Linked DNA regions of Diceros bicornis minor. The protein of the gene in region 1 binds, or shares a complex with, the protein of each later gene. Links are inferred from orthologs where the notes say so. Each region holds a gene or a part of one and is shown in the gene's direction. Other genes may lie near its edges. The genes, in order: RIPK3 and ZBP1.

The links.
Region 2: RIPK3 (region 1) and ZBP1 share a complex: the UniProt entries of both Homo sapiens proteins name them as parts of the AIM2 PANoptosome complex. The link is inferred for Diceros bicornis minor from reciprocal best matches to the Homo sapiens genes RIPK3 and ZBP1.

Annotation. Positions count from the first base shown.
Region 1 is NC_080744.1:23,680,323-23,688,126, forward strand, and holds the start of RIPK3 (receptor-interacting serine/threonine-protein kinase 3), read left to right. Parts: upstream 1-4,572; 5' UTR 4,573-4,690; coding exon 4,691-4,752; intron 4,753-4,893; coding exon 4,894-5,034; intron 5,035-5,154; coding exon 5,155-5,464; intron 5,465-5,929; coding exon 5,930-6,075; intron 6,076-6,199; coding exon 6,200-6,246; intron 6,247-6,452; coding exon 6,453-6,620; intron 6,621-6,727; coding exon 6,728-6,795; intron 6,796-7,049; coding exon 7,050-7,352; coding exon of another isoform or gene 7,353-7,406; intron 7,407-7,468; coding exon 7,469-7,610; intron 7,611-7,804. UniProt on the Homo sapiens protein: Serine/threonine-protein kinase that activates necroptosis and apoptosis, two parallel forms of cell death. Necroptosis, a programmed cell death process in response to death-inducing TNF-alpha family members, is triggered by RIPK3 following activation by ZBP1.
Region 2 is NC_080758.1:5,918,563-5,926,452, forward strand, and holds the start of ZBP1 (Z-DNA-binding protein 1), read left to right. Parts: upstream 1-4,876; 5' UTR 4,877-6,650; coding exon 6,651-7,287; intron 7,288-7,890.

The DNA of each region.
Region 1 (7,804 bases):
GTTTAGTTGTGTTCCTTTGCAGATGATCCACGTTTTCTTGTTAGCCTTTCAGGTTGTTACTTTGTCTTCATTGTTCTGTAGTTTCACTGAAATGTATCTAGATGTGGATTTCTTTATATTTATCCTTCCTGCCATAAATTGTGCTTCCTATATTTGTGGATTCCTGTCTTCCAACAATTCTTGAAAATTCTCATTTTCTCCTCAAATATTGCCTTGTGCCCATTTTTTTTCCCTTCTCTCCTCATGGAAATCCAATTTGATAATTGTTTGACCTCCTCATTCTTTGCCTCTTAATTTTTCTATCTGCTTGTCTCTCTTTCCTGCATTCTGGAGAATTTCTTCAGATCTAACTTTTATTACACTATTTCTCTCTTCAGCTGTATCTTCTGTTTAACCAAGCATTGCAATTTTAATTTTGATGGCTATACACAGTTTTTTATTTCTTGATATTCTATTTTTTTCCTAAACCTATCAGGGTATTTTTTATAATTTCTTAGTCCTTGCTCATTTTTCTATTCCATCTTTTATTTCTTTAAACATTTGACAATAGCTTCTTTTGAGTCTTCATCTGATTATTCCAAACTCTGAAGCCCTTAAAGATCTAAACCTGTTGATTATAGTTCCTGCAGATTCTCCCTCATGGTGATTTGAATCTTTATATATTTAGTAAATTTTTTTGTGTGTGTGAGTAAGATCAGCTCTGACCTAACATCTGTGCCAATCCTCCTCTTTTTGCTGAGGAAGACTGGCCCTGAGCTAACATCCGTGCCTATCTTCCTCCACTTTATGTGGGATGCCACCACAGCATAGTCTGACAAGCAGTGCATCGGTGTGCGCCTGGGATCCGAACCCGGGCCGCCAGCAGTGGAGCGCGTGCGCTTAACCGCTACACCACGAGCCGGCCCCAGTAAATTTTTTTGTGAGTTTATATTTGCCTGAATTTGATCCAGAAACTTGGATTAAGGATGCTTTCTTCTAAGGAGGATTCAGTTTGCTTCTGCTGGACTCCAGGGGGCATTAATAATCTGGGGCCATTTAAATCTTTCAACTTATGGTTTATTTGATCAAAAGGAAAGTAAAAATTCCAACTACAGATCCGTGTGAGAGCAGATCTCACAGGGAAACTAACATTTTCATTAATTTTAACATCTAGCGCTGCAGCCTAGACAGGTTCCCTTGCAGGTTCCCTCCACAAGCAGGTGGACTTTTTCCTTTCCACAAAAAATGAGGCCCCTTTGAGGGCCCCAGCTTGTCAGGGAATAGGCGTGTCTTATATTTAGCTCCTCCATCTTCCTAGGCCCTAGGGCCTACTCTTTGGTTCTCCCTTAATCTCCCATACCCTCTACCCAGTCCCCAAAGCTCTAGGTTTCTAATTAGTTGACCTCTCTATTTACCTTCTTTTTTAACATTTTTCTATTTTGTTGGTTTCAGGGGGATGCCCTTAGGAGATTACCTTTATTTTATTGGGAGCTCACTAACAAATTTAAAAATACATGTTTATTGTGATTTATATAGCATTTAGGTATTCTGCTATGGGAGGCTTTTGAGCTCTCTGTCACACTCCTGGAAGAGAATTTTTAAAACAAACAAAAAATATGATTATATGGGACATACTGTTTTATAATCTGTTTTTTTTCCCACTTGATATATGATAAACACCTGTCATATTAATAAATATAGGTCTAAGTCATCATTTTAATGGCTACATAATCTTCCATTGCATAATTTTTTCAGTCTTTTTCCTATGATTGAATAGCTAGGGTTTTATTTTTTCACTATTTTATTTATTAATATTTTTTTGTGAGGAAGATCAGCCCTGAGCTAACATCCACGCCAATCCTTCTCTTTTTGTTGAGAAAGACTGGCCCTGGGCCAACATCCGTGCCCATATTCCCTCACTTTATATGGGACGCCGCCACAGCATGGCCTGACAAGCGGTGCGTCGGTGGGCGCCCGGGATCAGAACCCGGGCCACCAGCAGCGGAGCGCGCACACTTAACCTCTATGCCACAGGGCCGGCCCCATTATTTTTTCACTATTTTCAACAACACTTCAGTGAATATCCTTATAACTAAATCTTTGCACATATCACAATCTTCTCCCTTAACTGTTTATAAAAGTAATGCATGCTAATATAAAATAATCAAACACTCTGGAACATGAAAATCCTCCATAATCCTTTTTACTGTCACCTCAATTAATACCATTTGGTCTATAATTAGAATCTCTTAATCAAACAAGAGATGAGAATTAGTTAGGGCTAGAATACGCAAGAAGAGAGACACACCCTCTGTCCCCCCACCCCGACAGCTAGGGAGAAGGAACCAGAGCAGGTCCTAGGGATGGGCTGAAAGTAACCAAAGACAGTTGGGAGCAGAGAACTGAAGGGATGAGAGACACCCAAATAGACTCCAAAAGCCTGTGACACCTGGGGTCACAGGGAAGGCCAGAGCTCCAAAATCCAGGAATCAACTCTGCCTTACCAGTCCCCTCCTGCAGAAGCAGAGGATCTTGTCAGGCACTCATTCCAGGCTCCTCTCCCTGCCCTTCCTTCTTCTAAAGGCGCTTGGTCTATTTTGAGTCAAAAAATAGTACAGGCTCTGACACTAGCCGCAACCCTATGCTTATAGTAGCTGACCCCTGTCCCAATCTAAAGAAATCCAGCCATAAAAAGGCCTTTAAACACCCTTCTCTCTCCTGTCTGCCTGTTCCCCTCAAGTGGAGACTAGGGTCTTCTCCCAAAGAGAATCATGAAAGGAATGGCTGCCCCCTCTGATGGCTCTTAGCTCCTGACTAGACTTTTTGAGGACTGCCATTGTATTCTGTGAGATACGCCATATCTCTAGAGTCAAGTCTACTTCAGACAGATTCTGTCAACTGTGCAGATGCAGTGAGAACCCCCAAACCATAAAGAAGCCCAACCTCCTCTTTCCTCCCAATGAGCACGGAGCTCCAGCTGGGGTGATCAGCGTCTTAAGGAAGCTCCGAAAGTTTTGCTCGTTCCTTTATTAATTCAATTCAACAAATATTTATTGGTATCACCCACATACTGGCTTTTAAGGAGACTACAGTCTAAGAATTACAGCTTGGACTGATTCCACCAGAATTCACGTTGTGGATCCTGGAGTTCTCAGGTGCTCTAGAAACCACAGTTAACTGCTGGCCACTTTTGCTCCAACCAGCAGAGCCCGTGGACCACTGGACAGAATGAAAAGTGCATACCAAGGCGAGCACCTTCCAGTGAAGCTGGCACACGACCTGTATGGTTGGGTCTCCTCGTGAAACACTGAGCGTCTAGGGGTGGCCGTATCTAGTTCCCACAACCTCCAGCCATGGTCAGGCTTTGGGCACGTAAAATATGGACACTTTTTGTCTACCCTAAATCCTTAAGGCTCCCCAAGCTCCTGAGTTCTTTTTTTTTTTTTAATTTTTTTTTTAATTTTTTTATTATTTATTTTTTTATTTTTTTCCCCCAAAGCCCCAGTAGATAGTTGTATGTCATAGTTGCAGAGCCTTCTAGTTGTTGTATGTGGGACGCGGCCTCAGTATGGCCGGAGAAGCGGTGCGTCAGTGCGCGCCCGGGATCCGAACCCGGGCCGCCAGCAGCGCAGCGCGCGCACTTAACCGCTGAGCCATGGGGCCGGCCCTCCTGAGTTCTTAAAGGCCCTTGTCCAGAGCATATGCCTGTCGGGAACGTGTATTAACCAGGGCATTTGCATGGAGGAGTTGGCATGCTGGGAGAGGGCAGGGAGGCGCTGAGGTGTTTCGACTGCAGTGTACACCACAATGTCAGCAGCCCTCTAGCTGAGCTAGTTCATCTGACCACAATGCCCTGGGAGTAGGTCTTGGTCTTGCCAGCAGGCAAGTCACTACCAATGCCAGGGGCTTGCCAGCAAGAGCAGCTGTCAGGGACTGGGCAGGAATACACACAGGGACCCTTCACTACACTGTTGGATGCGTCACACCGTCCTCAGCCCCCTCATGACCAGCTGAGTGGTACAGCCCTGAAGCCTGTGTGAGAATAGGAAAACTCGGTGGTTCAGAGCCAGACTCTGAAGTCAATTCATACTGGCTTAGGCAGGATACTTAAACTATCAGTGCCTCCATTTCCTCATCCATGAAGAATAAAAACAGTACCAATCCCCCTAGGGTTGATGTGAGAAGTAAATAAGCTAATATATGTACCTGGCACATGGCAGCCTTTATAGAAGTGTTGGCTATGATCTTAGGGCAGCTATAGGAGAGCTGAGCCCTAGGACCACAAAATCCTCCTCAGCACCATCCCCTCCCCCCCGCCCAGGCCTGGTGGGTGCTGGAGCTGGGAATCCTGTGGGAGAAGGGAGAAACGCTGACTATAGGAGTGAGGTGATTGTGCGTTCCTGGAAGGTGAGGACTCCTTCCGTGGTACCCCAAATGCCCAGTGACGCCTAACCTGGCCGAGGCACACAGCAAGTGCTCAAGGAAACACTGGTTAAAAGAAAGAAGCACTAGCTTCCGTTTTACACTACCCCCTCCCACTACTGGGGCGGGACCATAGAGGCGCCTGTCGGAGAAGGAAGTTATTAACTCACTCGGTGCAGGCACATCGACCCGGGAAGCGGAACCGTGCAGTGGCCTAGAGATTGACCCCTCTCCCGATCCCCTCCCCCTCTCTGCCACAAATCCCGTTCCCAGAAGTCACTCCATCCTCATGGGCTCGAAACTTCCAGAAGCCCCTCACCCTTCCAGCCTGATGTCTTGCGTCAAGTTGTGGTGAGTGGAGAGTGGGAGGCCAGGAGACAACTGACAGTGCCAAGTCCCCGGAATCACGGGGCCAGGCGGGGGTGGGGGTGTGCAGGGGGCAGCGTGGACTTGGGGCCATGGCCAGCTGGTGGACGAGGCTCTCTCTCTCAGGCCTAGCGGAGCCCCAGCCTCCCTGGTGCCCATCGAGGAATTGGAGAACCCGAAGTTGGTTGGCAAAGGCGGGTTTGGCACCGTGTTCCGGGTGCAACACAGGTCGTGGGGTCATGATGTGGCAGTCAAGATCGTGAACTCGTGAGTGACCCAAGCTTCTTTGGAGCCAGTTGGTGTCTGGCCAAGGAGGTGGGGCCTGAATGGGAAAGGGAGGGGTCTTCCCAGGAGCAGAGCCAACTCCATCTCTGTCCTGGGGTGTAGGGAGGCGATATCCAGGGAGGTGAAGGCCATGGCAAATCTGCGTAACCAGTACGTCCTGCTCCTGCTGGGGGTCACCGAGAAGCTGGAGTGGGACTACGTGTCCGGGCCAGCTCTGGTGACTCGATTCATGGAGAATGGGTCCCTGGCAGGGCTGCTGCAGCCCCAGTGCCCTCGGCCCTGGCCGCTCCTCTGCCGCCTGCTGCAGGAGTTGGTGCTCGGGATGTGTTACCTGCACAGCCAGAACCCCGTCCTTCTGCACCGAGACCTCAAGCCTTCCAATGTCCTGCTGGACTCAGAGCTGCATGTCCAGGTCAGCCCATCCACACCCTAGCCCAGCCTTTGGACAAAGTCTTGCTCCTGAGATGCTCCAGCCCTTCCCCCGCTTAATGGGACACAGGACCTGCTGCAGCTCTGGCTACTGAATAGCCTCAGCATCTCCCTCTGGACACAGGGCTGCCCAAGTGTCACTCAGGAGCTTTATCTCTGCCATACCAGGTGATAGAGGCCCTGACCGACACAGTCAGTTCCACAGGCCCACCTCACCAGGCCCTCCAGAGACCCATGACTAACTTAGCCCAGCAGACTCAGACCTTGACCCAGCCCTATGGAGAGGGGACCCAGACTTCCAACCCAAGGGCCCCACTGGTCTGACCGTTCCCTAGCCTTCCATACTCCCTTTACAAGGCTGGATCTGCATCTCCTGGCAGGGAGGGAATTCTGGAAGCTGGTTGGCACTGTCCATCCCCTACCTCCTTCTTCTTCCCTCCTTTTGCAGCTGGCAGATTTTGGCCTGTCCACGTTTCAGGGAGGCTCACAGTCAGGGGCAGGATCAGGGAAGGCAGGGGGCACCCTAGCCTACTTGGCCCCAGAACTGTTGGCTGATATAAACCAGAAGGCCTCCATGGCCTGTGATGTCTACAGGTAAGTACTCACTGCAAACACATGTCCCCAATTTCTACACCTCTCTGGGCCCTTCTAGGGGAAGGTAACGGGAGAGGAGTCTTGCCAGTAGTAGGGCCAAGCCTCAGCTTTGTGTCTTGTGCAGCTTCGGGATCCTAATGTGGGCAGTACTAGCTGGAAGAGACCATGAGAGTAAGACTTTGGACAGACTCTGGGATCCTTAACCCCGGGTACCTCCTCTCACGAGCCCCCAACCCCTCCTCTTCCTGCTTACCTGCTCAGATTGTCCTCCTCCCTCACCTCCCCTTGGACTACACTCCTTGCCCCTTTCCATGATGGAACAGGTGGCCCCTCGTATCCTTAATATCTTCTCTGCACATCGTCCATCCCAATCCCAGTAGTGTCCCAGATATCGCTGGTGAAGGCAGCAGTGTGTGAAAGGAAGGTCCGGCCCCCCTTAACTGAGCTGCCCAAGCCCGGCCCTGAGACTCCTGGCTTGGAGGGACTGAAGGAGTTAATGCAGCACTGCTGGAGCCATGAGCCCAAAGACAGGCCCTCCTTCCAAGGTGAGCTGGCCATCTGGCAGCTGGGGTAGGCCTGGATCTGTCTACAGGGGGCTTTTTCCTGGAAAAGAAGTTTTGCTCCCCTACCACCCACTCTGCTTTCTCTCCAGACTGCCGTCCAAAAATGAAGAAAGCTTTCCTTCGGGTGGAGGACAAGATAGAAGATGCTGTCTCCATGGTGAGTACCCAACACAACCCCCCGCCCCCTAGAAGCTGGTCAGAGATGGCAACATGGCTCCCTTGGCCACCCAATGACTCCCCTGGCCACCCAATGACTCCCCACTGACCACTGTTCTTTATGCCTTGACCCTCCTCTTCAGTTTCCCCACCCCACCCCTGAGTTCCCAGGCAACAGACTGTGGACCAAGAGACTCCTCCCTTGGCTACTCAGCTCCCCCACCTCCACACCCAACAAGCCCCCTGTCCTTGCAGGTGAAGAAGTTCATGTTTGAGCACAGGAGCAGCAACAGGACGATGTTTACCCCTGAGCCAGGCCCAAGAAAGACAGAAATGGATGGCCCTGGGCAAACCACAGGAAGCTGCAATACTGTGGCTGAGATGTTGAACAACCTGAATGTGGAGGGGTTCCCCAACTCTGTTCCTGAAAAGTGTACAAACACTCCTGAGAGGATCAGGGCACAAGGAAAGCAGGTTCAGCATGACCGGACAGCAGGGACATCTGACTCAACAGCTCAACCTCCCCAAACTCCAGAGAACTCACCTTTCAGAAACCAGGTACTCAGCCCCTCCTCAGCTTGGACCCCAGGTCCTGGACCCCAAGGGAATCAGGTGAGACATTGGCAGGACTAGCGGATACACTAGGACTCCTGTGAATCCTGTCCCCTTGCCAGGGGAAACTTGGGGCTGAGGTGGTGTGCGATGGGGGAAGAGACCTCAGGACAGGGAGCCCGAGAGCACTGTGTTGTTCACAGGGGGCTGAGAGACATGGTACCCACTGGCCTCCCAGGGCGCCGGAGCCAAGTCCAATATCAGGTATTCACTCCCACTCCTTTCTTTCCCCACCAGCTTCTTCCTCAAGACCCTAGATAGATCCAGGGTATCCAGGGGAGAGAAAGGGCTTGAGGCCATCCACCCCGACCTCCTCATTTTATAAATGAAGAAGCTGACACCCACTGGGATTGGATCCCACTGAGGTCACACAGCACAGCCTGGATCTGCCCCTGGGC
Region 2 (7,890 bases), on another chromosome or scaffold:
TTCCCAGGTTGGGCAGTGTGTCCTCTTTTGCAGCCAGAGCGCAAAGCGGAGCCAGGACCCAGCGAGGGGGCCAGGGAAAAAGAAGGCACAAGGAATTATTTGGTGAATGACGGGATGAATAAACGGGGTGGCTTTGCTACCTCAGAGGGGACGGCTGGGATCATATGATGAAGATACGACTCGCTCAGCGTTCTGTGAGCACCTTCATGGGCACGATCCCATTCAACTCCTGCAACAACCCAGAGGTAGGTGCTGCTGTGATTACCTCTGTCAAAGGGAGAAACTGAGGCTCAGAGAGAGGAGTCCCTCGCTCTGGGAGCAGAGCCCCGGTCTGCCTGACTCCAGGGGACACAGGTGACCGGCGGAGCCCCGTCAATGGCTCTGCCGTGAAGGGCAGCGAGCAGGGCCGGGGCTGGCCCTTGCCTGGTCGTGTCCCTCGCCCTCCGCTGGTAGCTCTTGTGACCTCGTGCCATCCCCCGCTCTCTCTGGCCACCTCTGGTTCTCGGGCCTTTGCCCCTGACACAAAACAGGTCATTACCCACATTTGGTGCCTTCAGACATTTCCACTTCCCCCCTGAGGTGAATTCACCGAGGAAATGTGAAAATAACATCCACGCTGCCTGGTAGAAGGAGACTGGGCTTTGCCAACACAATGAGCAGTAAAAATATCTCTCTTTTAAAGGAGAGAGAAAGAGAAATTTAAAGACTCAAGATCAGTAACATGTAATTATCATTGAGTTTGGGCGGAGAGTTCTAATAGTTTCCAGAAAAACACAAGCCATGAAAAAGGAGTGTGCTTTCCAAGCAAAGAGAGATTCGGGCTCTGGGGGTTGGAGGCGCCATCTTGGGACTCCTGTGGCCTGGAGGCCCATCCCGGGGGAGTGAGGGGGCACCAGTATCCCTCCCCCCCTGTCCTCGTCTGCCTTCTACACTGGATAGGAGGTCCTGAGAGTATGGAACCTGCCTTTGATCTCGGCCTCGGTGGGGCTCAGCCTTGGGCCTGTTCGATAGACAGGCCCCCGTGAATGGACACACCTCAAGGCACAGAGGGGTATCCTTGCTCCTTCCTTCAGGGGACAACACAGCCTCACAGGGACAGCTAGATAATCCTCCAATATCCGTTGTCCCGTATTTTGAAGTAATAGAACCTCCAATTTTGGCTGGCTGCATGGTGGGCCAGAATAAAGACCATCTTTCCCAGACTGCCTTGCAGATAGGCCAGGCCCTAAGACTCAGGGGATGTCAGTGGAATGTGTGTGCAACTTGCAAGTGTTCTTAAAGGAAAGGTACCTGCCCTTCTTCTCTTTCCTCCTTCCTACTGGAAGGAATGCAGACATCATGGCTGGAGCTTGAGCAGCCATCCTAGAACATAAGGGCAACCTGAGAACAGAGGCCACAAACAGCAGAGCAACAAGATAGAAGGGGCCTGGGTCTCGACACTATGGACCTGGACCACCTACCAGACTGTTATGGGAGAAAGAAAGACACCTCTGTATTGTTTAAGCCACTGATATTTGGGTTGAAGACAATCCTTATAGTCAAAATTACCTTGAAAATCTCTTAAATTGAGAAGAGAAATACAAGATAATCCAAATCTGTATAAGTGAGAATCCCGCTCAGTGTGGTGAGATGCTCACAGCAGGTTCACAGCTTCCGTGAATTCCAGACATATCACAGAATGCTCTGGAAGGGGGAACCACTTGCATTAAATTGTTCCTTCTTTCTCTTTCTTGCTCTTTTTTTTCCCCCTAGCACCTAAAGTATTGTGGAGACACATCACATCACATTTTCTAACTTACGCAAATTTTGTGAGCACCTACCTAGTGTCAGATAGACATGGTTTTTCTTATTTACTATCTCCATTTCATAATTAAGGAAACTGAGGCTCAGAGAGGTGGTGACACACAGCTGGGGAAGCAGGGCTGAAGCTCGGATCAGACCTGCCCTGAAGAAGAAGGCAAGGCCGAGTCCTTGTCCAGGCGGCACCTCCCGGGCGCTCGGCCCTCCTGGCGTGGTGGTTCCTGCTGGAAGGTCCGAGGGACGGTCAGCGAGCCAGTGCGGAGGCCCCACGGGGCTCCAGGCCCCGGGCCGGTTGGTGAGCGGGCGCCACCTGGTGGCTACTCTCGGCACAGCTCCAAGCCACCCGCTGGGTTCAGCAGGAGCCCCCCCGAGGGCGCCCCCACGATCTCCCTCCACACCCCCAATTACCCGCATTTAAAATTAATATTTTCAGTTCATATAGAGATACCCGATTCTTTGGTTTTACGTAAAAGGGGAACAAAAGCATCCTTGTGGTTTCCTGTTTTTACCGAGTTGTCCAGCTCTCCGCCTCAGACGGCGTGAGATCACCTGGGGCGCTCGGCCGCGCCCCAGAGGTTCGGAGTTAATGGGTCTGGGTGGGGACTCGTCGTTGAGTTTGTCCTGCTTGCTCTGCGGAGACAGCTTCCAGACGAGCCTCCTCCGGGACCCTTTTCCAGGGCTGCCCTTGTTCCCAAGCCCCTCCGGGTGCAGAAACGCTGGGGCGAGGGTCCCCCAGGGCGCGAGGACATCCGCTCGCCCTCCCAGGCCTCTGCAGCGGGGACCCTGAGTCCGGGTCTTTGGGGGCTGAGCTCCTGACCCTCTCGGCTGCCTCATCCAAAGCCCTTCAGCTCTGGGGCCTCAGTTTCCCCTTCTGTTCCCTGGAAGAGAACAGAGGCTCTGAACTGCTCAGCCCCTTTGAGGATTTATGAAAGAGATGGGTCCTTTTTCCAGAAACAGGTCCCAACCGTGCTCGTGACTGTAGATGGCCCTGGTGGCTGTGATCAGACTGCTTAACTGGATTAACCCCCTAGTCTTCCTGAGGTGGCTACTTTTATTAGCCCCATTTTACAGATGAGGCACAGAGAGGTTAACATACTTGCCCAAGGTCACAAAGCCAGTAAATGGTGGGGCTGGGTTAGAACCCAAGCATCTCTGTGGCCTTGGACAAATGACCTCACCCACCCGAGCCTCGATTTCCCCTCCGAGAAGAGAGGCCGGACCCCGAGAAGAGAGGCCGGACCCAGCCCCCACCCTGTAGATGGGTCAGGGGGACACAAAGATTGGAGAGCACATAGTAGACACTCACTAAAGAAAGATGCACTGGGACACGCACGCGATCCCTCACAGGGCACCGCCAGCTGTCTCTTCCGTGTGTGGGGGTCAGGTGGGCAGTGGGGGCGCCTGGAAGGTCGGGGAAGCCTCCTGGCCCTGGGGGATGCTGCGTCTTGCCCAGCCCAGCTCTTCCCTACCAATATCTAGACGGAGGCCTGCTCGGACTTGCTCATCAGTTCTGCTTTCGATTTTGTTTCTCTCGAAAGCCATACACAGAAGTTTCATTTTCTCTAGAAGGCTGGTCAGGGCTGGCTCCTGGGCTCCGCTTCCGGGGTGTGCACAGCTGACACCGCCAGGTTGAAGCTGGCATTCCTTCACAGCTGCCGGAGCACGAGGCTCGGCCACGCCAGGACAGCCGGCATCACCGTGGCCCACCCTCAAGGCCGCGATGCAGGAGCCGGCCGCTGCCCCCCAGGCTCCCGGGCTCCCAGCTGCTGCTGCCGGCATGGCCGAGGCCCCTGCTGACCCCACCGAAACAGGTACTTTCTTCCCTCCAAGGAAGTGGGAGCTCCCCCGTGGGACTTGTACTTCTCTCTCTGGTTCTTGGCCCAGATCACGGCGAAGGTAGCAGGGTCCCCTCAAGCACAGCAGTGACGAGGAGGAGAGCACAGCGTCCCCTCGGAGGGCTCCTCTGCCTCGGCACCCTGCAACACACTTGGTGTGCGCTTCACAGTGACGCTCAGCGGTGAGCGCAATTGTGTTTCCATTTTCCGAATGAGCTCGAGACCGCCGGCCCTGCGGGTGGGATGACTCAGGGCCTACGGCCGACCCGTCCTCATACTCATTTTGAGAAACAGCGGAAGCCGCTTTGACAAGATGCGCATGTGCGTGTTTTCCCCTCGTAGCATTCTGTCTTCAGATGACGCTTTCCTCCAGGAAGAATCACCGGTGAAAGTCAGCCGCGCACCGAGCGCGGCCGTGCTCTACGGTTGACGCTAAGGGCGCCACAGTGTGGGCTGCGGGCGAGGGCGGTTTCTGTTTGTTATCATTAGCTCATTTAGTCCTCACAAGCTTTAAAGTTGATACTATTATTCCCATGTCACAGATGGAGAAACTGAGGCCCAGAGAGGTCACATAGCTAGGAGATGGCAGAGCTGAGGCTCAAACCCTGGAAACCAGCCATCAGAGAACAAAAAGGAGAAAAAGAGGGTGTGCTGGGGAGGGGTGCCAGGCAGGGGCCCTGGGAGGGGTCCTGGGGAGGGGTGCTGGGCAGGGGTCCTGGGAGGGGTGCAGGGGAGGGGTCTGGGGAGGGGTCCTGCGAGGGGTGCAGGGGAGGGGTCCGGGGAGGGGTGCCAGGGAGGGGTCCCGGGAGGGGTGCAGGGTAGGGGTCCGGGGAGGGGTCCTGGGAGGGGTGCAGGGGAGGGGTCCGAGGAGGGGTCCTGGGAGGGGTGCAGGGGAGGGGTCCGGGGAGGGGTCCTGCGAAGGGTGCAGGGGAGGGGTCTGGGGAGGGGTCCTGGGAGGGGTGCAGGGTAGGAGTCCGGGAAGGGGTGCCAAGGAGGGGTGCCGGGGAGGGGTCCGGGGAGGGGTCCTGTGAAGGGTGCAGGGGAGGGGTCTGGGGAGGGGTCCTGGGAGGGGTCCTGGGATGGGTGCAGGGTAGGAGTCCAGGGAGGGCTGCGGGAAGGGGTGCCAAGGAGGGGTGCCGGGGAGGGGTCCTGGGAGGGGTGCAGGGGAGGGGTCCGGGGAGGTGTGCCAGGGAGGGGTCCCGGGGAGGGGTCCCGGGAGGGGTCCTGGGAGGGGTCCGGGGAGGGGTCTGGGGAGGGGTGCCGTGCAGGTAGGAGTCCAGGGCACTGGGTAACCTCATCTACCTTCTTCCCCATTGGCTTCTCCCTTTCTTTACCAACCTGTCGCTCACACCTGGTCCATGTCACAGCTTCCGGTCACTGAGGTCTCTGTGCAGGAGGCCAGCCCCGCCCTTCCGGTTTGGCCTTCACCCACACCTGCTCCCCAAGCCTGCTTGCCCTTTGTGGTCAGGGCAGTGGAGGAGGAGGGAGGGGAAGAGGCTACCCGGGGGCAGGCTTTCCAAGAATCAAAACTCTTTTCAAGAAAGGCAAAGCCAGGGTCTGGCCCGGTGGCATAGTGGTTAAGTGCCCGCGCTCTGCTTCAGCAGCCTGGGGTTCGCAGGTTCGGATCCCGGGCGCGCACCAGCGATCCGCTTGTCGGGCCATGCTGTGGCAGCGTCCCATATAAAGTGGAGGAAGATGGGCACAGATGTTAGCCCAGGGCCAGTCTTCCTCAGCAAAAAGAGGAGGATTGGTAACAGATGTTAGCTCAGGGCTAATCTCCCTCACACACAGAAAAAGAAATGCAGAGCCAGGTGTGTAGTTAGTTGGACAGGGATCCCCTGGCCGCTGGGGTAGAATTTGGGGGGTGACAGGGCGGGTGCCGCCAGGTGTTCTAATGGCACCTCTAATTGCAAGGATGGAAACATCCTGACCGCAGGGCGAGCCACAGCGCCCAGCTGTCGAGTCAGGTGGGTTAGCCCTTCCCCAATAGTGCTGCCACCAAGGACCCCGGAAAAACCCAGAAGGCGAAGGCCAGCTGCTGCCCCGGAAGGGGACCCAGGTCTTGCCAAGAAGGGCCCTGCTTTGCATCCCCCTCGGGGTTCTTGGGGGCAGACATTTGCTGGCGGCAGACTGGGCAGCTGCCCACAGGCTCTCACCAGCCCCGCGGCCCTGTCCTCTCACCCCCGGAGGAGCAGCTGGCTGAGGCTTGTGGGACCCTGTCCGCAGAGCAGAGGCCATTCAGAGAGTTCCTCCTTGAGCCTCACGAGATCCTGCTGAGGGGTGTTAACCTCAGATGGGGAAACAGAGGCCCAAGAGGAGCCGCCTTACCCTGCTCCAGGTCATGTGGGCAGACATCCGTCCCAGGAGTGGGCAAATCCACTCACTCACTCATTTGCCTGGTCACTCATTCCTTCAAGGGCCATTTCCTGAGAACCTACTGTGTGCCCTGCACTGTGCTAGACATCATAGGTACTACCGTGAGTCAGGCAGTCACAGCAGGGAATCCTGGGGGACATTCTGCAGGGGACCCACACACAAACAGCACCCCACCCACTCAGGGCATCCGGGACAGCTTCCCAAAGGAGATGGCATCTGAGCGAGACCTGGAAGTTAAGTAGACGCTGGACAGGTGGAGAGGGGGGAAGAGTGTTCCTGACATAGGGAACAGCATGTGCAAAGGCCCAGTGGTGAGTGGGGCTGGAAGGAGCGCAGACGGGTTGGCACTTGGAGGGAAGTTGAAGGTGGGTGAAGACGAAGCGGGGTGGTCGGCAGAGCCAGTTCTGGCTGCCGAGTGGAGAGTGGACCGCAGGGAACCCGACTAGAGTTGGTGGAATTGCTGTCACCTGAGGTGGTGACGAGGAACAGGGAAGAGGAGGTGGAGAAGAGGAGACGAGGGACTCAGGAGAGCCAGGAACAGGATTTCCAGGACTCCGTGTTTGGGCATCAGGGAGAAAGAGCCGTTTCTGAATGTCTCTTGGGTCTCTGGCTGGATGAATAGCGACACCACTGACATGGATGATGAGCCCCAGAGGAGGGGCAGCTTCCCTGGGGGGCTCAGAGCCCAGCAGGCCTGCCTCTCCCTCCCCCGCCCCCCCCCACTCTCCCGCCTCACTCTCCCCCGTCCTGCCGCCCTCCACTCCCCTCTGCTCTGAGGACCTCTCAGAGCTGAGCCTGAGAGCTGAGAGTTCCCACCTGCCCTCGAGCACTCACAACAGGGGGAGCACACTCGGAAGGCCTAGGCACCTCCTCTGGCCACCAGGCTGTCCAGCCAAGGTCACCTCTGACCAGCCCAAGTGCCCCTCACTGAACAGAGGTGGATGTCTGCTCGGGTCTCTGCCCTGGACCCCTCTCGGGGGGTCTCCCTCGCCCCCCCAGCCCAGAATCGATTGTGGGGGGACTCGGTTCTCTTTCTGCCCCTCTTGTCGCCCAGACCTGGAGCAGAAGATCCTGCAGGTGCTGAGGGGTGCTGGCTCCCCGGTGAAGGCTGCCCAGCTGGCCAAGGACTGCCAAGTGCCCAAGAAGAGACTCAACCAAGTCCTCTACCGGATGAAGGAGGAGGCGAAAGTCCACCTCGAGGGCCCCGCGACATGGCGCCTGGGCGAGGGTCAGACTGGAGAAGTGGTTCCCACAGAGCGGGCCCAGCCCTGCCAGGGTAACCTGCCTCCGGGGCGGGATGGGGGGGTCGGACCCTGCATGAGTCCTGGCAGTGGACAGCCCGGATTCGGACCTGGGCTCAAGCAGGGGCTCTGCCCCTTGGGGGCGCGTGAGGTCCCCTCACCATGCCTTGACTTCTTTTTCTGGCCAGCGGAGATGACAGTAGGGCTGCATCATAGGGTTGCGAGAGGATTAGATGCAAAGGGCTCAGCCTGGTGCCAGCACATAGTAGGTGCAGAGTAAAACATTAATAGTAATAACAGAAAATGGTAATGACAACAACGACGATAGAGATAATAATAACAGAACAGACTTAGCATGGCGCTAGATCCTCCTTTCCAGCTCTTCAAAGAGCTGCCATTGTCAGGTACTCGCAGGGGCCGGTGCGGAGCCCGGGGGTCACCCTGCCCGCACCCAACCCCGGAGGTGGGTAGACGGCGTTCTTCCCTCTTCCCAGAGAGGTTAATTAGCAGGGAGCCTGCACAGCAGGAAAGTGGCAGGGCCGGATTTGAAGGCAAGTCTGTTCACTCTAGAATCCGAGTTTGGAACGCCCGTGCGCTGGGGCCACCCTTGTCTGGTGGATCCTCGTCCCTTCCCCTGT